Linked DNA regions of Kluyveromyces lactis. The protein of the gene in region 2 purifies or fractionates together with the protein of the main gene of each other region. This does not show direct contact. Links are inferred from orthologs where the notes say so. Each region holds a gene or a part of one and is shown on either strand. Other genes may lie near its edges.

The links.
Region 1: the proteins of UTP6 (region 2) and IMP3 purify together in Saccharomyces cerevisiae (affinity purification with mass spectrometry, with the first as the bait; 3 studies listed by BioGRID). This does not show direct contact. The link is inferred for Kluyveromyces lactis from reciprocal best matches to the Saccharomyces cerevisiae genes UTP6 and IMP3.
Region 3: the proteins of UTP6 (region 2) and DIP2 purify together in Saccharomyces cerevisiae (affinity purification with mass spectrometry; 5 studies listed by BioGRID). This does not show direct contact. The link is inferred for Kluyveromyces lactis from reciprocal best matches to the Saccharomyces cerevisiae genes UTP6 and DIP2.
Region 4: the proteins of UTP6 (region 2) and RRP5 purify together in Saccharomyces cerevisiae (affinity purification with mass spectrometry, with the first as the bait; 3 studies listed by BioGRID). This does not show direct contact. The link is inferred for Kluyveromyces lactis from reciprocal best matches to the Saccharomyces cerevisiae genes UTP6 and RRP5.

Annotation. Positions count from the first base shown.
Region 1 is NC_006041.1:1,423,598-1,428,741, reverse strand, and holds IMP3 (snoRNA-binding rRNA-processing protein IMP3), read left to right. Parts: upstream 1-2,717; coding exon 2,718-3,269; downstream 3,270-5,144. Other genes in the region: exportin CRM1, read left to right, coding at 1-11; MRPL9 (mitochondrial 54S ribosomal protein uL3m), read right to left, coding at 381-1,202; MRPL6 (mitochondrial 54S ribosomal protein uL6m), read right to left, coding at 1,545-2,189; KLLA0_E15973g (SKG-like transmembrane protein), read right to left, coding at 3,533-5,144. UniProt on the Saccharomyces cerevisiae protein: Required for the early cleavages at sites A0, A1 and A2 during 18S ribosomal pre-RNA processing.
Region 2 is NC_006038.1:118,155-124,136, forward strand, and holds UTP6 (snoRNA-binding rRNA-processing protein UTP6), read right to left. Parts: upstream 3,138-5,982; coding exon 1,773-3,137; downstream 1-1,772. Other genes in the region: chromatin-binding transcription regulator ADA2, read left to right, coding at 372-1,679; YML6 (mitochondrial 54S ribosomal protein uL4m), read left to right, coding at 3,710-3,748, 3,917-4,666; RPS18A (40S ribosomal protein uS13), read left to right, coding at 5,469-5,515.
Region 3 is NC_006040.1:1,376,254-1,383,058, reverse strand, and holds DIP2 (snoRNA-binding rRNA-processing protein DIP2), read right to left. Parts: upstream 4,176-6,805; coding exon 1,365-4,175; downstream 1-1,364. Other genes in the region: inositol-3-phosphate synthase INO1, read left to right, coding at 1-996; TAF12 (Taf12p), read right to left, coding at 4,595-6,130; NEDD8 ligase DCN1, read right to left, coding at 6,412-6,805. UniProt on the Saccharomyces cerevisiae protein: Involved in nucleolar processing of pre-18S ribosomal RNA.
Region 4 is NC_006038.1:727,362-734,024, reverse strand, and holds the start of RRP5 (Rrp5p), read right to left. Parts: upstream 4,176-6,663; coding exon 1-4,175. Other genes in the region: YPK9 (putative acid anhydride hydrolase), read left to right, coding at 5,342-6,663.

The DNA of each region.
Region 1 (5,144 bases), on a different chromosome or scaffold from region 2:
ATGATGAGTAAAGATAACACCTTACAGAAATGTACAGCATGGTCAAGAAACGAAAAAGTTTCTGCGGATCCAATGAAAGCTGAAACTAACACTTGTCAAGCAAGGCAAATATATACATAGCAGGCCGTATATCTTCCCACATAGAGAAAAAAATTGTAATCAATTCTCTCCGACATATACCCAGGATCCAGTATCAACGTATGAAAGCCATTAAATATCTGGTTGAAAAGGACACTCAACGTTGCAGCAGTTACTATTTTATAATTGGTGTATATACAGGTATAGATTGTTAATAATAACCGTAGAAAGGCATGCTTTCCAAATGATTTCGGGACGGTGTCTAAACGACTGAAAAGATTCAATTTCTTAATCACAGTTTTTTATACTGGGGTTGGCTTTTTGATAGCATCTTGGATCTTAACGAATGCACCATTTGGACCTGCGACAGAGCCCTTCACCAAGACAGTACCTGTTTCGTCGTTGACGTCCAGCACTTGCACGTTTTGAATTGTTACAGTGTCGACACCCATATGACCAGGCATCTTTTTCCCAGGCAACACACGACCAGGTGTTTGATTTTGACCGTAAGAACCACCAGATCTGTGAGATACGGAAACACCGTGGGATGCCTTCAAACCTTTGAATCCATAACGTTTCATTACACCTTGGAAACCCTTACCTTTGCTGATTGATCTTAAATCAACGTATTGGCCAGGCTTGAACCACGAAGGTTTGATTAAAGAACCCACTGGTAGTAGTCCAGATTCGTCCTTGACTCTAAACTCGGTAACTTTTTCCTTTGGATTCACAACATGTGCAGCGAAATGTCCCAACATTTGTCTGGTAACATTCTCCGGCGACTTGTTACCATAACCAATTTGGCAAGCCCAGTAATTGTTTTCAGCTGGAGTTCTGTGTAGTATAACTTCGTTATTGTCCAACTGAAGTACAGTAGCTGCTATACGTTTACCAGTCTCTTTCTCGAAATACGGCATCATCCCTACTTTTTTACTCAAAGCACCACAACGTAGAGGTAATCTTCTTCTCTTTAGCGCATTTTCTGGAGAATGTTTAATATCTACAGGATCTAGATGAATGCTGCTTGCCACGGATGGTGCGACTAACTTGGCACCGTTCGATACTCCACTTTGTGAGAAAAGTCTTGTCCAAATCTTCGACGAAGGACTGCCAATAAATGCCATTATTCCCCAATTTTCAAAGACTGGTCGATTGATAACAAATGTGTCAATCCAGATAACCTCTTGGCAATGCTGGAGAAACTGTAAAGGATTTAAAATGTAGTTTAAAGACTCTATTGAAACCTGTTTCCATCTCTGTATAATTGTTAAAGCTGTTTCGATATTGAAAATTTTTTGAATCGATAAAGTTACCTATAGATCACGTGATTAAAACGGCACGTAGTTCTCTCACTGATTTAACACAAATTAAGTGTGCCCTTGACGGTTATTGGAAGTGTATGTTTATGCTTCTGTATTTACATGTTATTTAATATTATAATAATTATAATCATCATTCTATCGTCATCATTTGATCTTCTTATCCTTGATCTTGATAGTTTCATTGTTAACGTAGATACCTTTACCCTTATATGGTTCTGGAGGATGGAATTTTCTCAAGTTGGCAGCGAAGAGTAGCACTTGTTGCTTGTTGACACCTTCCACGATCAACGACGTGGGTACCGGAGACTTAACTATGATTCCCTCTGGGATAGGTAGGCCTTGTCTTACCGACGCACCGACTTTGACGTTGACAAAGGTGTTATTTTCCTCCAATTGAGCTCTGTAACCGGTACCAACGAACTTCAGAACAGCCATATGGCTCTCATTCACGCCTGTGATATGATTATTTATATGAGATCTTACCGTCCCCCACATGGATCTTTGCGTCTTGTCGGTAGAATCCTTCACTGCAACTTCGATTTTTCCCGAAGATCCATCCTGCTTTATCTCCACGAAATCTGGGATTTCCATATCAATCTTCCCCAAAGGACCCGATACAGTTACGTTCTGAGATAACTTAAGAGATTTGTTACCCTTTCTGATGATCTTTGGCAGTTTCATTGATTCCACCACCAACTTGGTCTCCGGTGTCAAATACACCGGAGAAGAACCAATATGTGAGCGCAGAAGAGCCGACACAGAAAAGAGTCTTCTGGAAACAAATGTCATGGTAATTGTGTATATCCTGGAAATAGTCTAGCCCACTTTGCAGCCGCTATATGACTGGGTATATTAGATCAAATGCGTCTATATCAATCTGTTCTTCCAGCACTCATCTCTATGCGTCTTTCAACCAATTTTTCACTTGGAATCAAAATTTTAATAGTGAGATAGTATGGGAGGGTAACTTTAATTGCTTTGACGATTGTTAAATAAGATATACTTAGGCTGTTACTCTCGATTGGTGACCATCTAGGCCACTCCTGGGTCGAAATGGGATGTGGAGACTGCTCTTCGTCGAAACACAGGAGTAAATACCTTGTGCTTATATTATCCTGTGCATCACGTGACTTGTTGATCTTTGCCCTTTCTTTTTGAAAAATTTCAAGCTCATCGCCTACGCATCGTCATCTCATCTCAATTACTGAATGATATAGCAGGCTGAAGTGGTTTCAAGAGCGTTCAGCAAGTCATTTGGTGGTCTCATAGCCAATATAAGGATAGGATACTCCAAGCAGATACACTAGGTAATACAGTATGGTAAGAGCATTGAAACATCATGAGCAGAAGCTTCTCAAGAAGGTCGATTTCTACGAATGGAAACAGGACCAGAACCACAGAGATACGCAGGTGATGCGTACGTACCATATCCAGAACCGTGAGGATTATCATAAATATAACAGAATATGTGGTGATGTGCGTCGTTTGGCACATAAGCTATCGCTTTTACAACCTACAGATCCCTTCCGTATCAAGCACGAGCAGCTCTTGCTAGAGAAACTATATCATATGGGCATTCTTTCAACAAAATCCAAGATATCAGCACTAGAGAATAAAGTTACAGTCTCGGCTTTCTGTCGTCGTAGATTGCCTGTAATAATGCATAGATTAAAGATGGCACAGACACTCAAGGATGCCGTTCAATTCATTGAACAAGGTCATGTTAGAGTAGGACCTAACTTGATTACAGATCCAGCATATTTGGTAACAAGGAATTTGGAGGATTACGTTACATGGACAGATTCATCCAAGATCAAGAAGACTGTACTACGTTATAGAAACGCGGTCGATGATTTTGACGATGCCTAGATTGATCCTGCTATACTTGCCTTCGGAAGTAGGAAAAAGGGCAAAAACTATTATTTTACAAATTTGAAAGGAAAGTAAGTAGTAGTGGTATATATGTATCATAAGAAAAAGTATTCTAATTACAATCTTTTGCTTCGAGCTCGGTTCCAATGTATATGGATATGCCGGATAATGCATATAAACACGTAAGGATTGTATTCAACAAGACTCCAAAAGAGGTCTAAAAAAACAGAATGGTAAAACAAAGGGAAATAATGCTCCCTTTACATGACATTGTAATTGTGTGATGAGCCCAACTGCTTTCTTAGATCTTCTTGCGATCCGGAGTGCGGTAGAATAGTCCCCATGCTTGGTGGATGCATAACGTCGGTGTCGTCAAGAATACCGCTTACTCTCGATTTAATATAAGTGTCTTGTAACTGTTGTTGATAAGTGTTAGTATTTGACATCAAACTGTTGGATCTTGAATCCGCTACAGCACGAGAGAATGATCCAGCTGGCTTGAAAAGGTTATTTTGAGACAACTCGTTTGGATTTGTCATCACCACGGATTGTCTCAAATGATGAGGTAATACCTTGCTTCCTGCAGAGTTAATTTGTGATGGTGTTGTATTGCTGGAGGCTTGATCTGAGGATAATCCCAAATCTGATCCGTTTGTTTGGTGGAAATAAAGTTCTGGATGGTCGATTGGATTGTAGTTATGGTTATTTTGTGGTGTCATAGCTGCTGCTGCTGGTGACTTAAGGGTGGTTTTTGATTTAAATGACGTTAACGAATGAGAGGAACCGCTAAATGGTAAATTAGATGGTCGTGGGAGCTCTTCGATGCTTTCCATATTAGGAGGGGGGAGATTATGCTGTATTTGGTTGTGATATGTTGGGAAACTTCCATCGTACTGATTCTGTCCGTAATACTGATGATTGTAGTAGTATTGATTTTGTTGATGGTCATTATGATACTGAGACTGGGTGTCATAAATTGATGACGCTACCCTTGGCGCAGGGTCTGAATATTGGTTTGGTGCGTTCGAGTTAGGATTTTCAAACGCTGCTGTATCTTGTGATTGGGTATTGCCATCAGCTTGAGTACCTCTACCATAATTTTCCTCTGGGTACTGTGGGGCTTCCGGCTGAAGAGAATAGCCATTCTGGTAATACTCATGTTGCGGTTGGGCTTGATAATTTTCAGGTATATTGGATGGATTCGTAGGCTCATTGGAGTTGGAGCTCTCAGTAATTATGTTTGATGCATCCTTCGGTAACTCTGCAACCGGTTGGAACCCTTCGGGCACCGGATTTCCTTCTCTAATGGTTTTCACAGTACCGTTTCTATCCAAATAAACCTGATATATCGATTTCATTCTAGCCACATCTTCATCGGAGTCTTCTTCATCACGTTGAATGTAGACATCATCTTCATTTTCCAAGAACGGCTTTTTCTGTAATTGAATTCCCTCTGATGTGCGTTCGGACTCCTGCATTGAAACTTCTGGTTGGAACCCTTCTTGGTCTTGATGAATATAAGATTGTGTTACGTTTCCTCTGGAATATTTAACAGGGCTAGGCTCACTGTATAGGTCGCTATCCTTTGAGTCCTCTTCGTCATCGTCATCGTCCTCGTCTGCAGGACTACCGGAATCCTGTACAATTTCACTGTACTTCAAAATCTTATCATCACCGTTAGAGTTATTACCATTCGAAACTGTGGAGAACTTTGACAAATTCGACAGTTGAATGTTCCCATTATTAGGGACAGACCCACCTGCCGCTGACGTGGGTCTCGAGATAGATATTTGAGAAGCAGAACGCGTCGCAAGTTTGTACCCATCAAAATCACTATTCTGGAAAGTCTTGGCAAAATTCCTTAACGTTTCG
Region 2 (5,982 bases):
TGTCTTCCAGTACCAGTCCACACACCTTTCCCCTCCGTCCCAATTCTCTTACGAAGTGCCAAGTAGTATTTCCTCTTTTGGTTTTATCAAATTTTATGAAATTAGCGTTCTCGAATTTCAGGATTTTCAGATTTTTCATCCTTAATAAGAATGTAAGGATGTAACAGTCCCGCATTCTGTTCTCCTGTTTACATGGAAAGTTCAATTATGATGTTCTAAAGAATCAACAAGTGATTTCAAGAGAGTTTAAAGAATAAGTCAAACTCATTGATATAAAAAGATAACTAACTTCGAGGACCCGCAAACTGTTATAGTGATTTAGCTTTACATCTGTTTGACTTTGAACTGCTTCTCCTTGTTCAACCGTCACCATGTCTAACAAGTTCCATTGTGATATTTGTTCTGCAGATTGTACAAACAGAGTCAGAATAACATGTGCGGTGTGTCCAGAGTATGATTTATGTGTGCCATGCTTCGCAAAAGGGTTATACAACGGTAAGCACCGGCCAAGCCATGACTATAAAGTGATTGAAACCAACTCATACCCGATTCTCTGTGAGGATTGGGGCGCTGATGAAGAGTTACTGTTGATAAAAGGAGCCCAGACACTGGGATTAGGTAACTGGCAAGATATTGCGGATCATATCGGATCTAGAGATAAGGAAGAAGTTTATGATCATTATTTGAAGTTTTACTTGAACAGTGAACACTATCCTATTCCAGATATCACAAAAGACATTAATGAACCGCAAGAACAATTTTTGGAGAAAAGAAAGAAACGCATGGAAAGATTTAGGGAAAGGCCTTTGGAACCTCCTAGGAAACCGATGGCATCACAACCGTCATGCCATGAAGTGCAAGGGTTTATGCCAGGTAGATTGGAATTCGAAACGGAGTTCGAGAATGAGGCCGAAGGTCCGGTCAAAGATATGGTCTTCGACGCCGATGATCAACCGTTAGATATTGAAGTGAAGTTGGCTATTCTTGACATCTACAACTCGAGATTGACGACTAGAGCAGAAAAGAAGCGTTTGTTGTTTGACAATTGTCTGATGGAATACAGGAGACTACAAAGTCTCGATAAGAAGCGTTCAAAAGAAACCAAAGATTTGTACAACAAAATTAAGGCTTTCGCAAGAATCATGTCCCCGCTGGATTTTGAAGAATTCAGCAAAGACATATTGGAAGAACTTCGGTGTCGAACAAGAATTCATCAATTGCAAGAATGGAGGAGCAACGGTATCACTACTTTGGAAGCTGGTCTTAAATATGAACGTGATAAACAAGCAAGAATTATGACATTGGAAAGATTTGGAAGTCAAGTGTACTCTTCTTCTTCATCTAGTAACACTGCCCGTTATAGAGCTACTTCGGCCCATAGATCGCAAGCTGATTATGCTCAAAATTATAACGAAGGAAGTGGACGTAAGAAACTAATGACTATCAGTGACATTCAGCATGGGGCAGATTTCCAATTATTATCAGCTGAGGAACAGCAGTTATGCATAACGTTGAAAATTTTGCCAAAGCCTTACATTGCCATCAAAGAGGTACTATTCAGAGAATTAATACGGACTGCAGGTCAACTCTCGAAGAAACAGTGTCGTGATTTATTGAATATCGAGGCAACGAAGGCCAACAGAATCTATGATTTCTTCGTTTCTCAGAATTGGGTTTAATTAGAGTTATAAAACTGTGGAAATATTGGCTCCACTGCTTACCTTACTACTTAATGTCAAATATGTACATAAAAATGTGTATACAGTGTCTCATTACAGTTTCTTGATAATAGCATTCAAAATAGCATACTTCGAATCAGATTTATCCATATTGGATAATAGATGTTGGGTCAAATAACCAGAATATAATGTAGTAAGTTGTTTGGCATTCGTCTCATCTAATTTGCTGATGTATGCAGAATACTTTTTGAAGGACAATTGGAGACTGTCGATGTTTAATTCGCCGGCAGGCATGAATTTGATATTTAATGTAACATCATGCAATAATAATTCCACATATTTTTCTGGCATACTTTTCTCAAGGGAAATATTATAATGTTCGTCCTTTAGCCATTGCAATACGTGATTTATCAGATATTCTCTTTTTAAATCTTGAAATTCCGAAAATAAGTTGATATACTCGAGGCATCTATCAAACAGGTAGGACATAACGTTTCTGCTGAGCTCTTCATCGACTTGCGAATTGGTAACGGCGTAGTATCCTTGATGTTTCTTGACAAAAGATGTGCCCAGATTCTTCATTGCGATATCGAATATAACCAATGCGACATCACCACGTAGTGCTGGATTAGTTTCTTCTGATCCAAGCATATTCATATCGGCTTCTGGTAACTCGTTTAGTTTATCTTTCATCTTGTCACCAGTACTTGGAAGTTGAATTCCGTCTTTGTCAAAGTATGCTTCGTCATCTGCAGTTTCTTCCAGACCTGTTACATTACTGGAGTTTCTTCCTTCCTCTTGCTGTTGTAGCATATCTAGCTCTTGTTCCCTTTCGTTGATTAAATTCATCACTTTTCTTCTATTTAACAATTTTGTCACGAAATTCAGTTCGAATTTAACGTACTCGTACCAGAGTTTAGAAGCATCTGGATTAAATCTAAGACCAGTTTGAAAAACATTTCTACAGCTCTTGAAGTTTGCGTGCAATTCGTATTCATATTTAGCACATGATATCCAAACGTCAACGTTTGTTGGATGTAATTTGAGCAATTGATTGTAGACGTTTTGAATCTTTTTATAAGAGGCATTTGTACCCTTTGATTTTAAATGATTCAAATATAAAGACCAAAATTTCAATTTTTTTGGGAACTTATTGCAGCCTCTTTGGAAAATATAGAGAATCCTCTGCTGTATGGTAAAATCCGAAATACTATTTGATTTGTTCGATTGCAAGATACGTTTAACACGTTTCATTCTTAATGCATCGACATTCTTCTCGTATTCAATATATCTGATGTAATCACTTATACTTGAACCTCTCGAACTCAATCTGTGTTCAAAATCAGTCCTTTTCTTCATAATTTTGTTTACTTCATTCTTAGTGAATAACTTCTTCTGCACTAAGTCATCAACTTCTGGAATACATTGTTCCAAGTAATATCTTGTTCTGGATGACATCGCCTTACTCTGGGTAGTTTTATGTTAAGTATTGATTAAAGTGTAATCACGGAGACTCGTATCGCTCGCTTACTGACAAAGGAAACGACTACTGGCTTTGTTCATGCTAAATAATACTGAGATGAGATGAGATGAGCCTTGAAGCTTTTGAATTTTTTTGGTTATATTGATTTCTTTTTCATATAATCAGTCAGAATAAAGTCCTCCATTTAAATAACCATCGATGAATAACAAAAGGACAAGTACAATTGTTGTTCTGCTAGCGTAAATCGGATTTTTTTTTACTGCAAATTGAATCCGCTTACATATGACATTCGGGACTACCATAAACTGCGACCCTTAATGTCGTTGTATGCTTTCATACAAGATGACAGTTTTGTTGATCGTTAATTCGGGCAATTTAACATTACCCGGATATTTTACATGGTAGACAAATTTTCGATAATCAAAAATCTGAATATGAAATAGGTTGAATACTAAAGATGATTGATTTGTTTGCGGTGATCAGACATAGGAGTGTCCAATTGATCCCCTTTGTATCGAGACATTAAGTCAGTGTATCAGAATCAGCCATGTTTTCCAAGAGACAAGGTTTGAATTTGTGCAAAAACGTATGTCAAACCCATTTTCATCACTGTTGCAATGGTAAAGCGCGGGCTTTCCTCAAACTGCATGATGATATCCTTCCGCATTAAGCAGTTATATCACCTACTTTTAGAAGATCGATTTACTAACTATTGCTCGTAATTTTTTGTTACTCTTTTCCCTATTCTCTACAGGTCCGTTACGTTTCCAACAAACCCCTTCCTAATGCTAGTCTACCGCCAAAATATACCTTAGCAACGGTTCGTTCATTCCCATCATTAGAACCATTGACATTTGCACCAGTGCCAACCTCAGTATTTGATGCTCCATTGAGAAGAGACTTACTATGGCGTGCTGTTGTTTACGAAAATGACAGTAAACGTGTTGGGTCTTCTAACCCCCCAGGCAGAAGTGATGTTGGTTATTCGAGAAGAAAGATTTTACCACAAAAGGGATCTGGTATGGCCAGAGCTGGTGACGCTAATTCACCAATAAGGCATAACGGTGGTAGAGCTCTAGCAAGAACTGCACCAAATGATTATACCACAGCGCTCCCAAAGAAAGTGTACTCTTTAGCATTCAATAACGCACTAAGTCATCAATACAGAAACGGTAACGTCTTCGTCATCGGAAGTGGTGACGGAATCTCCGAAACAAGCCAGGCTGATCTAAATGAATTGGAAATTCTTCCCATCGGGGAGGGCTCAGAAGATGGCGATATCGTGTTCGAAAAATTCCTAAAGCACTATGAGCTACAGAACAAGAAGCTATTATTCGTTATTAACGAACCAAGGCCAGGATTATTTTCATTTACAGAAAGATTCCAAGATAAAGTTAACATCGTCCAAAAAGAATTTGTTGATGTCAACGATCTACTTAAGGCTCACAGAATCTTTATTGAATTGGAAGCTTTAGAATACCTGGCTGTTACTCACGTTGTTTGATTATGGAACGAGATACTGATCATCAGACGGGAGTTAAAATAAAAGCTTCGAATAATAAACTCCACATTGCACCAACTCATCCACAACTTGTATATATATGTATGTGTGTATATTAACGTCACAAATAAAATGAAAATAGCTACACGGCTGTTTATCTAAGTTAGCGACATCCGTATTTGTAAAGACAATTGACCAATGCTGTGGCCATCATCAAGCTGTAAAATCCAAATCGAGGACAAACAGACGCAACCATTTCGGACTGTTGTCGGAAGCCTTATACACCCGTGCATTTTATTATTTTCAATGCGCCTATAACCGAATAATAGTTTAATTTTTCCTTTCCTTCAAGTTTCCTGATTAGGAAACCCATCCAACGTTTTTCAGACTTTGGGCTGAGTTTTCTCCGTGCCTAAGGAAAGACAGGGCATTAGGTGTGCCGACGCCTCGGTTCTTTCCAGTTTCTCCTCCCCGACAGAATTTCCATCCCCCTGATTCTGCTTCTCCTACCGACACCTTCTGCTCCTAGGCTGGGAACATGCACCACTAGACCGATCTTGCTCAGTGACAGAGTATGCTGGGCCTCTGTCCAGTTCTGGTTTGTGCGGTTGTGAGACAATCGTTCTATAGTGGTTTTACCGAATGGCAAGTTTGTATGGAGGGAAACCTTTGAACCTTTGCAAAATCATAGTGTTCAATTAGTGAAAAGCTACTTAACAATGATATATTAGTGTTATTATATTTAAATAACGGATACTTTATTATTAGGTAGTCGTTTTCGAAACAGAACGAGTAAGAAGCAAAGATGTCTCTAGTTGTTCAAGAACAAGGTTCCTTCCAACACATTTTGCGGTATGTTTTAAGATGAGAAACGTTTTAAGAGGATTACAACGAGGAAATTGAAATGAGATATGTTCAAGGGCAATGAATACGAGTATTATCAAGACAACACTACCGTGGTTATAAAGAGTTCCGAGGAGATGAAAGGTATTAGACAGCTTTATGAAAACATGCATTGCGCGTTACATTCGGTATATCATTTAGTGATGATGTTATACTATTAAAGTGAAGAAAATGAGAAGGAATACCACCAGATAGATGGTCCCACAATTTTTCCAAAGATCAAATCGAATTGAAAAGCTTACGCCCGTTAGTAGACAATATGCAGAATGTTGAACTCAAAAATGGATCTCCTTTCTGACATTTTACGTTAGGTCATCCAAAGTTTTATGTTGATTTAGGCATCGAAAACAATCAAAGTACCAAACTGCATAATCGAAGCAAGGAGAAGCATTTTGTGTTTATGGGTTTTCCTCCGT
Region 3 (6,805 bases), on a different chromosome or scaffold from region 2:
AACTGTTTCAATAGGGATGGTAAGGCTGGACCTGTGTCTGTAAAGGACAAATGGAGTCACGTTGAACACATCCGTAACGACATTCGTCAATTCAAGGAAAATAATGGTTTGGACAAAGTCTTGGTGTTATGGACAGCTAACACTGAACGTTATGCTGACATCGTGACTGGTGTTAACGATACTGCTGAAAACTTGATCAATGCTATCAGGAGTGATCATGCAGAAATTGCTCCATCCACTGTCTTTGCTGTCGCATCTATCTTGGAAAACGTTCCATACATCAATGGTTCCCCACAGAACACTTTCGTCCCAGGTGTCATTGATTTAGCTGAAAAGGAAGGCGCTTTCATCGCTGGTGATGATTTCAAGAGTGGTCAAACCAAGATGAAGTCTGTCTTGGCCCAATTCTTGGTTGATGCTGGTATCAGACCAGTTTCTATCGCTTCCTACAACCATTTGGGTAACAACGATGGTTACAATTTGAGTTCTCCACAACAATTCAAATCTAAAGAAATCTCCAAGGCGAGTGTGGTCGATGATATCATTGAATCCAACCAAATTCTCTACAATGACAAACTGGGTAACAAGATCGACCACTGTATCGTTATCAAATATATGCCAGCGGTCGGTGACTCTAAGGTTGCCATGGATGAATATTACAGTGAATTGATGCTTGGTGGTCATAACAGAATCTCCATCCACAACGTCTGTGAGGATTCTTTGTTGGCTACTCCATTGATCATTGACTTGTTAGTCATGGCTGAATTCTGTTCCAGAATCAAGTACAAGAAGATTAATGACCTTTCAGGAGGTTACCACAGTTTCTACCCTGTCTTGACTATGTTGAGTTACTGGTTGAAGGCACCATTGACTAGACCAGGTTTCAAGGCTATTAATGGCTTGAATAAACAACGTGCTGCTTTGGAAAACTTCTTGAGATTGTTAATCGGTTTGCCAGCATTGGACGAGTTGAGATTCGAAGAAAGATTGGTTTAAAAGAATGCTAATGCTGCATGCTATTTAAAGATAGAATAGAAAGAAAAGAAGTAGTTTTTACATATATGAACCCCAACCAGATACGTATCTAGTCAACGAATAAATATATTCCTTTCCACGATATTTCCATGATATTTCTTATAACCCTATTCTGGATTACATGCTAGTCATTCCTTAAAGTGTCAGTTTTTTTTAACTTCACAAACTAAATGTTAACATCTGTGCTCAAATGAAAAACAATAACAAAAGACCAAAAACTGTAGATGAAAATCGATGTCGATGAATTATCTATAACTTGATATTTACATACCTTGAGACAGGTTATATATTTAATAAGATGCATACGGTTTTAATTTATGGACGTAAATCTAGCGAACAGTTTCGAAAACTCTCTTCTTTGCAACCTTTTTCTCATGCTCTAACTGCGAATAGTCATCAGTGAACTCCAAGTTATGTCTTAAGTTCCATTGCTGTTTGATGAAGTTAAGACCGGCGATGTTAAACCCAAGATCGTCTGCATTTTTTTGCAACATTGTTCTGATGTTGGTCTTCACTCTTTCAATTCTCTGTTTCAATTCTTCATTCTTTTGAGCGACTAATTCCTTATTGTTCGTGCGAACTATAAAGAATAGGATTTTACAAATGAGACTTAGATGTAACAACACTAAATCTTTTTGCTTCATTATCACATCAAAGAATTTGAAGAATTTGATAACATATGAGAATGGGAGCACAAGTAAAGAATCTTCGAGTTGTGATGGTTTAATTTTCCCTAGTGTGTCCATGATGTATTTTTCCGGTTTTATTTTCATGGCAATTAAGATGGCGTTACTTTGAGGTTTCATTGGTGGTTCACCACTTTTCTTCTTTTTCCATGACTTAAGAGATTTTTCGTAATTTTCCCAGGATTCGATCTCGGCTACACCTAAGTCTAGAGCTTCCATTAACTTTTCACCTGCTTTTAAAGACTCAAGAGTTTGCTTATTAACACCACTAACCTCATCAATCACTCCGTCATCTCCACTGTTTTTGTCCCTAAGGAACTGATCGTCTCCTGATCCACCTTCTAATGATTTCAATAGTGTTTCTTCATACTCTTCTTCCATCTCTCTTTCTTTCTCTTCTTCTAAGAATACCTGATCGTCAGTTTCTTGCCATACTCTAATACTATGATCATGAGAAGTAGACACAACGGTTCTTCCATCTGGTGACACTGCAATACACCACACTTCACTTTGGTGACCATTGAGCTTTTGAATACAGTCAAATTTGTCACCATCCCATCTCTTGACAGCACCATCCTTACCACAACTGAAGAAATTATGAGTGTCGGCTTCGAATCTTACTGACATGATAGAATCTTGATGAGCAAATATGGACTTGTGACAGTCACCAAAGTCAACACCCCAGATCTTGATGTTCTTATCTGCTGATGAAGTAATTAACATCTTGGAATCTACAGAAAAATCAATAGAAAGTACAGGTAGTTTGTGACCATAAAGACTTAAGTAGAACTTCAAAGAATCGAAAAAGAATACTTTCACAGTATTGTCTAGTAATGAAACGGCTAAGTATCTATCTTCTGATGATATCTTAACAGCCAAAATATCATCAGTTAGTTCCAAAGTCGTATCGTGGACTAATTTAAGTTGAGGAATGTATTTATCCTTTGTGCCTGGGACCAATTGTTCAACAACCTCGAAATCCCAAAATTTACAACTTTTGTCCGCTGAACCAGTGACCAGTCTTTTACCATTGCTAGTCAAATCTAATGACCAGATTGCTGCCGTATGTGCTTCTGTAGTAGATAGTAATGTAGAACTAGCCAAATCAAATAGCTGAAGTTCACCTTGTCTTGTACCCACAACCACCAATAATCCACCAGGTAGCATCTGGGAACACAACGCATAACCACAGGAAAAGGTACGGATACATTTCTTTGTAGTTAGATTCCATACTTTCAATTCTCCGTTAGATGCTGTACTCAATAGTTTCCCATCATCACTGATGTCCATAGATCTGATATCAGTTCTATGACCTTGTAATTCGACGTTATACCTTCTCACTGGTGGTTCTGCATCTCTTTTACTGTATGGAATTTGATAACTTTCAATGGTATTGTTAGAAGTTGTGAGAACCACTTCCAACTTGCTATTACTTGCTTGAATCCAGTTGGAGGATTTAATTTTGTAACTTGAGCGTACCGTGGAGAACGAATGGAATAAAACGCTGATATCATTTGGGTTAACCGCCTCCTGAATTTCCTCTTCAGAGGCCCCCTTATCCCTTAGCCTCTTTTCACGTCTATTAAGAGCTTTCCTGATCTCTTCTTCCGGTCTGATACGGAAGATTTCTATTGTCTTGTCGTTATTCTGGATATAGAAAAACCTGGTACCGTTTGGTGCTGTGATAAATTCAGTGGAAACACCTCTTTGCTTACTTTCGGTCTCGAAAGTACCACGTTCTGAAATTTTTTCTCCATTACTCTTCTCTAAATCTAATTCCCATATCTTGGCCTGTGAATCCATCGAGGTGGTTATTATGACTTCCTCATCGATTGCCATCGACCAACATTGACCAGTATGCGCCATATGCGTCTCAACACACTGACCACCAGCCTTAAGATCCCATACCTTGATAAGACCATCCTTGGCCACACTAATAAGCCAGTCCATATTATGGTCTATCCAGATACCAGTAATGGCATCTTTATGTGATCTGAGTTTCATCAAACCAACTTCACCGACTAAATCCCAAATGATCAAATCACTGTCTTTACTACCAGAAACTAATCTAGTACCCTCGGAATCCAATCTCAACACGGTAACACCACTCTTGTGTCCGTTAAACTGCATCAATACACTTTTAGAAAGCAGATCCCACACTTTAATCACACCATCTTCGTAACCAACACATAACAACTCTGTTTCCTTGTGGAAACACATCGCAGTTACTACTGAAGGTTTAGAAATATTAGTCTCTACTGCACCGATAGGTAGCCCATCAGTAAGTACTTCCACCTCATTAGTTTTCAATGTCCATATTTGAATATTCTCCAGAGCACCTGTAATTAGCTTGCCAGACGTTGAGTTCGTAGCTGGAAGATAGATCGACTGATTTGAAGTAGAAATTAACCCAAAAAGACCACTTTGTTCAAAACGTTGATACGATTTAACCATTGTGTATCAATTTAAACTCCACACTGCGGATAATAGTAGCAATAACTGATATCTTACACAGGGTTATAGTATATAAGTTTTGTTATACTTGTTCTTGAACAGCATTATGCGATGAGATGAGATGACCTTCCATAGTTTTTAACGTTTTGGAAAATTTTGAAAAATACAACTTGAAGCCATGAAAAAGAAAAGGGTGGTTTATACATATATGAGACAGGCAGAATAGGACAAAGAGTATTAAGAATCAGTTTCCCTGGACTTGATTATGCATTGTTGTAGGTACTCATCCACTTCTCCATTTTCAATATTTTGAGGAATTGTTACATTAATAGATATATGATATATGATGTATAATATATGCATCAAATTAAGTCTGTTTGAATGAATGAACTTGTTTAAACAGTGGTAATTTATCCATTTCACTTCTTTTCGGGATGTGTACGTGCAGTTTTATTGTTATTGATTGCATTTACCATTTGATTGTACGAAGGGGTTGGATTCCATTTCTTGGTGCTACGGATTTCATCGTTGGCAAACCCTGGGATTCTGATATTCCAATTACGTTCCAGATGCATTTGGATGTCTCTTACGTCGAGTGAATCGGATTTTCTATGTTTTGCCAATTTACAGGCGAAATTCGTAACATTAGTAATGAAATCGTCTGCTAGATCGAGTAATAGCTCTTCCACATCACCATCAATGGTGGTTTCACCATCACCTTCGTCTATACCCACCGTTTTGACGAGTTCACGGAGCTTTCTTTTAGACATCACACGCTCAGTATCGACCTCATATGGCGGTAGTTTGGTCATAACAGGTGTAGTTAGCGCTGGCGCGTTCATACCACTACCGCCTGTTATCGTAGGTCTGTTGCTTCTGTATGACACTGAAACTGTTGGGGATGCGGTGACATTTTCACTTATTGGTATCGATGGGTTTGGTTGCTTGAAGATTGGTGGTCTTGTATTGCTTTGTGCTGTTTGATTTGCAGCTGCATTCACCGTTGTCACCTGCATTGGGGACGATTTGTCAGAAGCTGTGTTATTTGGTGCGGCAGCTGCTGAGCTCGGGTTTGCGTTTGTTGCAGTTGCAGTAGTTGCAGCGGTCTTTTGAATTGGTATATTTTGTCTTTGCGCCATAGCATTTGGAGGACTACCACTCGAAGCTTTATTCAAACTTGTTGGAATTGGTGTACCGGTGTTGGTTCCTGGAGTAGAAACACCAGCCTGAGGTCCCGGTGTACCTGCATTTGCAGCTACTGTACCCTGTGACTTAGCAGCATTAGCTTTTTGTTGCTGTGCTTGTAGATATCTTCTTAAGTCAGCATTAGTTTGAGAACACTCAATGTAAAACTTTCTTCTGTCCTCTTGATATTTCTGTTGTAATGTCGAATACTGGGCACTCAATGCCCTGATTTTCATTAATAATTCATTCCTGTTAACCTCTAATTGCTGCACCGATAGACTGTTACCTCGTCTATTCCTGATCTCTTGGTCCAAAACACTAATATTTCTCTTCAAAAAGTTGAATTCTCCCTTGATATTCTGACCGTCATCCTCATACTTTTGAACCAATCTATTGTAAGCTTCACGCTGTTGAGGAGTTAATAAGACCTTTATGTTATTCGTCACATTATTGGAACTGGCGGTAGCTTGTTGTTGCTGCTGCTGTTGCTGCTGCTGTTGCTGCTGATCCATGGATTTAACATTCGTGGCATTATTATTTACAGCTCCCTGTGCTCCAGCCTGCGCTTGGGCCTGCTGCTGCCTCTGTTTACTGTAAGCCTCGTACAAAGCCTTAATACGGGCCGCTTGTCTCAATAGCTCTTTCCCTTCCTTGGTATCTACACCAATTCGCTTAGCTTCGTTAACTAACGATTTTAGTCTATCCGCCAATTGCTGCATAGAAGCTGGCGTGAGGTTCTGCAGCTGTACATTACCTGCTTGGCCTGACATTGTCCGTATCTTGGTTCGTAATCCGAAATGCACACCGCAAGCCCACTTTAAGTGTCGAAATACCCTCGTGCTGGCCTTCTTTGCCCCCGTTTTGCCCTTGCTTTAACCTCGCGGCAACTACTTTCGATTGTTATTCACTTGTTGATCTTTGAAATATTTTTGAATTTTGATGCTGAAAGGAATAGGAAGACAAGTGTTACCCTGACAACATACACAATGCGTATATATGAATATATGTATCTATGAATATGTTCATAAGCGATATAGGTGTTTGCGCTGCATCACAGCTTGTCATTTTCTTCCAAGAATTCGTAATATTCGTCTATAAGTAGCGGCCAAGCAGCCATTTCATCATAGTTTTGTTTTAAACTTTCGTCATTGGGGTATTGTTCAATGAACTTATAGAACATCAACCATATATCGTTTGAGATGTTCTGTTTCCTTGGATCCGAGTCGTCAGAATTGATGAATTCAAGCCATGAATTAAGTCTCTCCTTGGAGATTTTCAACGCATATTTATTGTCTTTAAAGAAAATATTCCAGTATTCTATTGCGACATCTTTAGGTAAATGACGAGATCCCTCGTCTGTATTCAATGGGAAAGTGTAGGAATAGATTGATTTGAAATAATCTTTGTCCGTCTCCAGTCTCTCTTCTAGCGTATGTAAATAGGCT
Region 4 (6,663 bases), about 610 kb from region 2:
CTAGTTGTGTCTTCCGCTTCTGAATCGGAATGTCCAAATTGAGCATCGTCCATGATCTCATCTTGGTCTTCATCTTTGTCTTCATCTTTGTCGGAAGCATCGCTTTCCTTCTGTCCATCTTCCATATCGATATCTAGATCATCTACACCTTCGAGCTCTTCTTCTTCTTCATTACCTTCTTCAACGGTTTCAGGCTTCTCGTTAGTGAAGTATGAAGCCTTCAAACCTAGAGATATTTGCTTCTTTTCAGGATTGGTCTTTAAGACGATTGCTTTAACTTTGTCACCTTCACCGAAAAGGTTTTGTAAATTATCTATTTTAGCGTCAGCGACTTCACTTTTGTGGGCCAAACCAGTTACGTTGACTGTACCGTCCAACTTTACGAAAACACCAAAGTCAGTAACATTCTTCACAGAACCTTGGAAAATATCGCCCACATTAATATCAGAGTATGATTTTAATACGTTCAATTGACCGTTGACTTCAGATTCCCTCAAAGTTAATAGTACGCGATCATCATTATCACAGTTCACAACCTTACCGACAACACTTTGACCTCTTCTGAAAAATTTCTTCCAATCCTTGATAAAGGCATCCGTAAGCTTGGAAACTGGAACGAATGCTTGCAATACACTGCTCAAACTAATAAAAACACCTTTGTCAGTGATAGATTTAACAAAACCACGAACAATATCACCTCTCTTCAATTCAGAGGAGGAGATGATGGTACGGTCCTTTGGAGAAGAAGAACGCAAGGATAAATTGATCTTGTTATTGTCTATGTCAACATTCAAAACTGTGGCGGAAACAATGTTCTTCTTTTTGGAGTCATAGACATCTTTCAACGATAGAGAATAATCATCTAAAGCATCGGTTATGAATGAAACACCAGTAACATCTTTACCTAAAGACAATAAAACGTAAGTATCCTGAACAGAAATTACCCTAGCAGGTAGAACATCGCCTTCTTTAATTTCTGAAATAGAGGAGATGGCGTGCGATCTAGCAGAAACAACTAGTGAATCATGCTCAGTATCAATAGATTTGACGGTTACTCTGACAGCTGTACCTATTGGGTATTTCTCTTCAATTGGTAAGGAAAAGTCATGACCTTCATCTGAGATCTCAAAGATTGGTAGTTTGGCCTTGACAGTAGGAGTGATAGTCAACCATGCGGTATCGTTGCTATAATTATTAATGAATCCAAAGGTTGTTTGCTCTGGAGTGAAGTCCTTGAGTTTCTTTTCGGAAACTGGAGAAGTTAATGAAGATGGCTTTGCGCTCAGTTCGACTAGATGGCTCTTGGATGTTGTGTGAGAAATTGGTAAGAATTTACGGCTTTTAATATCGTGGAACCCGATAACTCTGACTGAGAGTGAATCATTTTTCTTGTACACACTTAATGGTGCCTTTTGTTCTTTGATATCTTCGAAACTGTCGAAAACTTCAGAAATACTGATACGACCATGTACATTATCAGCCAACGTAACGTTAAGCTGGTTCTTCTTAACTGATGTAATTGTAGCCTTTGTAACCTTACCGATAGTGAAGTCCGACAAATCTTTGATAGACTTGTCGACTGGGTTAATTACAGATGAATTGATCTTCTTAACATCGGTCTTTTGTTTTAAAATAGTCAATAAAAATCTTTCATGTTCCTCATCTGTTCTCAATAAATACACGGTCACGGATTGATTGATGTAGTATTTCTTATGAATATCAATATCTCTGGTTTCTGCTGCATAACTTGGTAAAACCAAACCGACAAATTTACCATTGAATGCAACAAAAACACCACGGTCAGAAACAGATTTAACGTAACCATGCATCGGTTCTGTTTTGTCTTTATTTTTGATGTCGGAAAAACTTAAAGGAAGGGTACCGTCTTCAGCATCTTTAATCAATGATTTTTTACAGGACATGTTGAACACATGAGTCCTGATGTCCTTGTCCAAAACCAAACCTCTAACTTCAGAGTTAATCTTTAACTTTTTCTGCGAAGCTCTGTTTTGTTCAATTCTATCATCTGACAAATGGCCGGTGTAAATAACACCGCGCAACCCTGAATCTTTAGATTCTACGATGACGGAATCTTTAGTCTTTTCAATAACAATTGCATCGATGATAGATTTACCGACAACTAAAGATTCAATAGCACTCTTTTGCTTGGAAGAAGACTCTGCTGAAATTTTACAAGAAGCAATAATTCTGTTTCTTTCGAAGTCATGATTCAAAATTTTAACCAAAACACTTTGTCCTAGTCTTAAGTGTTCTTGTGGTTTCTTTACAAATGCTTCTGAAATTTCTTTGTTTGGAACGAAAGCTTTGATATTATTAAAGAACGAGATAACACAACCATTAGGCTTGAATATTTCAACAGTACCAATTGTTTTCAATTCTTGACTTTCAACAGTCTGAATATCATCATTTTTGCAGACTAACGTCACAGATTCTTCGTCTGCATTTACAATAGACTTTTTCAATGTCACAGTGACACGGCCCACAGAATCGACATTGAGAACTCTACCTTTAACCTTTGAACCAATTTTGAATTTTCTTTCAGGATACACAAGTCTGGTATCAGATATGTGTAAGGGAGGAACAAATGCCTTAAATTGATCATTGAAAATTTTTAATTCAATACCTTTTCCTGACACTGTGACAATCTCACAAGCGCTCAAAACTTCGCCTGCTGGAATATCGGACGATCTTAGGTATTTGACATCAAGTAAGGCTGGATCAGACGTCAATGTGTAAAGTTTATCTACATTGTTATAGCCGAGTATTCTTGCTTTCACAGTTCCCGTTGGTTCAGTTTCTCCTGCCTTTGACAAATGAATTTGTCCCACCTGTTCATTGTTGATTGATACGTAGAAAAATTGACTATCCCTGCCTTTAACTGTGCAAGAATCGAAGATATAGCCAACGGGGAAAGATTCTAACGCTTCGGTCTCCTGTAATTTTGGATGCAATGAGATGATATGAGGTTGTGTGGAAACGACAGCAACTTTATCGCCGCTTTTCACTATAGTGGTTGCCAAAATTCTAGCATTGACTAAGTCACCAATGGAGTAGTGATGCTTCAAATCCTCTACCGTAAAGAAATTGGAATGTGGCAATGGCAAAAATGCAGTTATTAGACCGAAGGCTTTACCGATAACACCGTGATTTGTGATAGTTTGAGGTAAAAAGTCAATCGATTGACCCGGCACGATGGCATCTATGGAAGAGATCTTTTCGACCTTGGTGTTTTTACTGGCCAAATCCAAGTTGACATTTACAGTTCTACCAGATCTTTTCGTCACTGTAGCTAAGAACACCATACCTGGTAACAAAGAACTGAATTCAGGTATATCCTTCTTTGAGATAAAACCTGTTAAGTTCTCAATACCGATATCAAGAATGGCACCGTGATCTTCTATACTTTTCAACGAACACTGTAGTGGACAGTTTTTAGCTAAATCATCATCTTCAAACACGTTTACTACAGAGGGTTCGATGGATAAGTCTAACTTTTTGTTCTTGTTTGATTCTAAAGCGCTGTTATTTTGTACCATGCACCTCAACCATTGGCCTATTTTGAAATATTTATTGAGATCAGGTAATTCTTTAGGAGTTGTTATGTCGCTTTCATCATCTGAAGAATCGTATTCTGAGTCCTCATTTTTTTCATCATCGCTTTCCATGGATTCGTCCAAATTTTCCAAAATCTTGGTCATTTGTTCAGAGATATCTGTTAATGAGACGTAACCATGCAAACCGTCCACCAAAGATATTTTCAGTTCATGTTTGCTGATCGATTGGATTTGACCCAAGACAATGGTCCCTTTGGTCATTTGTTTCATTCCAAAATGCTCAATTAAATCAGTCTTGTCCTCTTTTTCTTCATCATCACCTGTGGTAATTTGATCAAAATTATTCTTAGCATTCTTCTTTTTCTTCTTCGTTGGGCCCTCTGCACCAGTAGCTGATTCATCCTTGCCAAATAAAACATCAGCAACCACTTCGTTACCAACCTGCTTAACTTCCAATGGGGATAAAGCAGAAGAACCACCTCTTGGAAATGAGATTTCCTCGGATTTACTCAATGCAGATTTGGCTGGTGCTTCGGTAGCATCCTGTCTTACTAAAGGAGACTCATCGTCTCTCTTTCTTTTACTTTGTGGAGCAACCATGTTTGTGATCTTTTTCGGTATTTAGATATGCCTGTTTTCAAAACAAATTACACCTAGCAATTTAGATGTAAACCTATGTTTTTCTTGAAGTGTCTTGCAAACTATTGAAGCTCCTGTTCCCAAGTTGTTGTTGTTTTTGTCTTCTGTGAAGATAGAAACCAATAAAGCCAATAGAAAGCACAAAGCAAAAAGAATTCAGAGAAAGATACAAAATATGTTATACCAAACTGTTTCCTGTTTGAGAAAGTAAACCAGACTTATCTTTACCAGAATTAAGAAAGTTGCACTTGGTTTCTAGAATCAACAAAGCTCAGAAATGTGTTAGCATACCAATACAAATGATCCAGCACTTAAGTAGCTAAAGCTCATCTCATCTCATCTCATCTCATCGCATCGATTTTTGAAAATTTTCAATATTAAAAAAAAGAAATCAAAACGACATAGACGAAATGTAATCGCGCCTTTGATGCAGTGACAGTTTAATAATGGAACGTTGTACAGATCTTCCGTTGTTATCACTGGAGTTTGTTTGAACCGTATCCACGGATTAGGGTCTTTTGAATGCATGACATACTTCTTAACTATTAAGGGCTTTTGTTAGCCAGTTATTCTATCTTCTTAAAGAGGTATAATAATTACATATCTGTAATGGTGGAAACCATGTAACTAAAAGGTTCTAGGGGAGTGATAAGAGTTTTGTTGGTCATGCTAAGAAAAATTTGTGCAATTACGAGTGGAATGCCTTCTATGGTAATAGTTTCAGATCAGACTATATGTTTTTTCTCTTTTTTGTTCAATTTCATTTCTAAAGGTACTTTCACAGCCGGAAATATTTATTATAAGGCATAAAAGCACCATCATATTACAGTCTAAAGCTGTTTCTGGCTCCTTTCGATCCATTTTCAGGGGCAGTCTATATATCTATCGAACTACGAGAGTTTTATCAACACAGTAAAGTTCCACATTGTAACGTGAGGTATCATTGGCCTGCCTTTTCTCCTATCCTTCCTTATGTATTATGTGTCTTGGTATGAAATTTCATTAAATCAATTATCTTCAATTTATCAACCTACATTCTCATATATATCAGAAACCTTTAAAAAGTAATATGGAGTGGATTCTATCAATAGATAAGGTCGACCAACGCACCTTTGAAGAGGGACTCAATGTCATCATTCGACAGCAGATTTACAGGAATACCCCATAGTGCGAATAAATCAGCAAGACCGTCCTTTTCTTCGACAAGGACGGGATCCAGCGCTAATACAACTACTTCATCAGCAATCTTGGAACAAAACAACACAGAACCATATTCTGGTGCTGCTGTAGAGACTGTACCAAGTTCTATCGTATCTTTCTATCATCCACATTCATTCCAATCTAGTGGTTATGGTGCTAGTGCTGGCTCTTCCACTAATTTGGAAAGGCGTGGTAGATCATCAGAACATGACCCTTTACTATTGAGTACAACAACCTCTCGTCGGTCTAGCTCTTCAAGAGGTCGTGGATTCCAGTTTTTCACAGAAGAACAGGTCGAAAATGCTGAAGGTATCACTTCTAGTGTAGAAAATGCTGATTATGATATGGATTGGGATGCCATACCGACATATGAGCAAGAACGTCTACATATTCAACCGAGGTCATCGAAAACATCATTGAGACAAGATGGTAACGACTATGCGATGAGAACTTTTACACCTAATCGAAAGTATTCAGTACGATCACGTAAAAGTGAAGATCGGTTGTACTCTACTTCCCCACGTTCTTCCTCAAGTTCCTCGAGATACACTCTAAGAGATAGAATTCCTGCCGAATTGGAAATTTCCACTACTCACGATGTAGATGATTCGGAGCTCAGATCGTCAGCTTCGTCAGAAAGTGAGGATGAGGAAGCTGAAGCTAATGACGATTACAATTCAAGAGCAGAAGAAGATCAGGAACAGAACAAGAAATCTTACCACTCTGAGTTCTTAAAGCCTCAGTACCATTCAAGATTTTTCCCCAACAACGTGCCATATTTGCATTATCAGAGATTTTACATCGCCGAAGAAGACCTAGTTGTTGCGATAGCTGGTTATCGCACATCAAGATTTAGGCTACAATGCTACTATCTACTTTGTATTATCACTTTGGGACTTGCATTTCTAGTCTTCAGATGGAAGCCGACCATGAGGGTGAAGATGATCGGGGAAAAGACACCATTGGGAAAAGCTGAATGGGTGGTTGTAGAGAATGAATTCGGAGAACTCACTGTCGAATCGGTGAAAAGAAGATGGTATAATAGACCACTTAGTACAGTTCTTATGGAAACAAATGAGGATAGGATAGGAACACCAGAAAGTCGTCACTATCATCATCACGAAACTGAGTGGAACCCTAATTTGCCCATTTTGATTTCTTTTCAGTATAGATACTTTACGTTGGTGTACTCACCAATTGATGATATATTTAGAAGCAACAGCAATTGGGCTGATCCAGATTGGCTGGA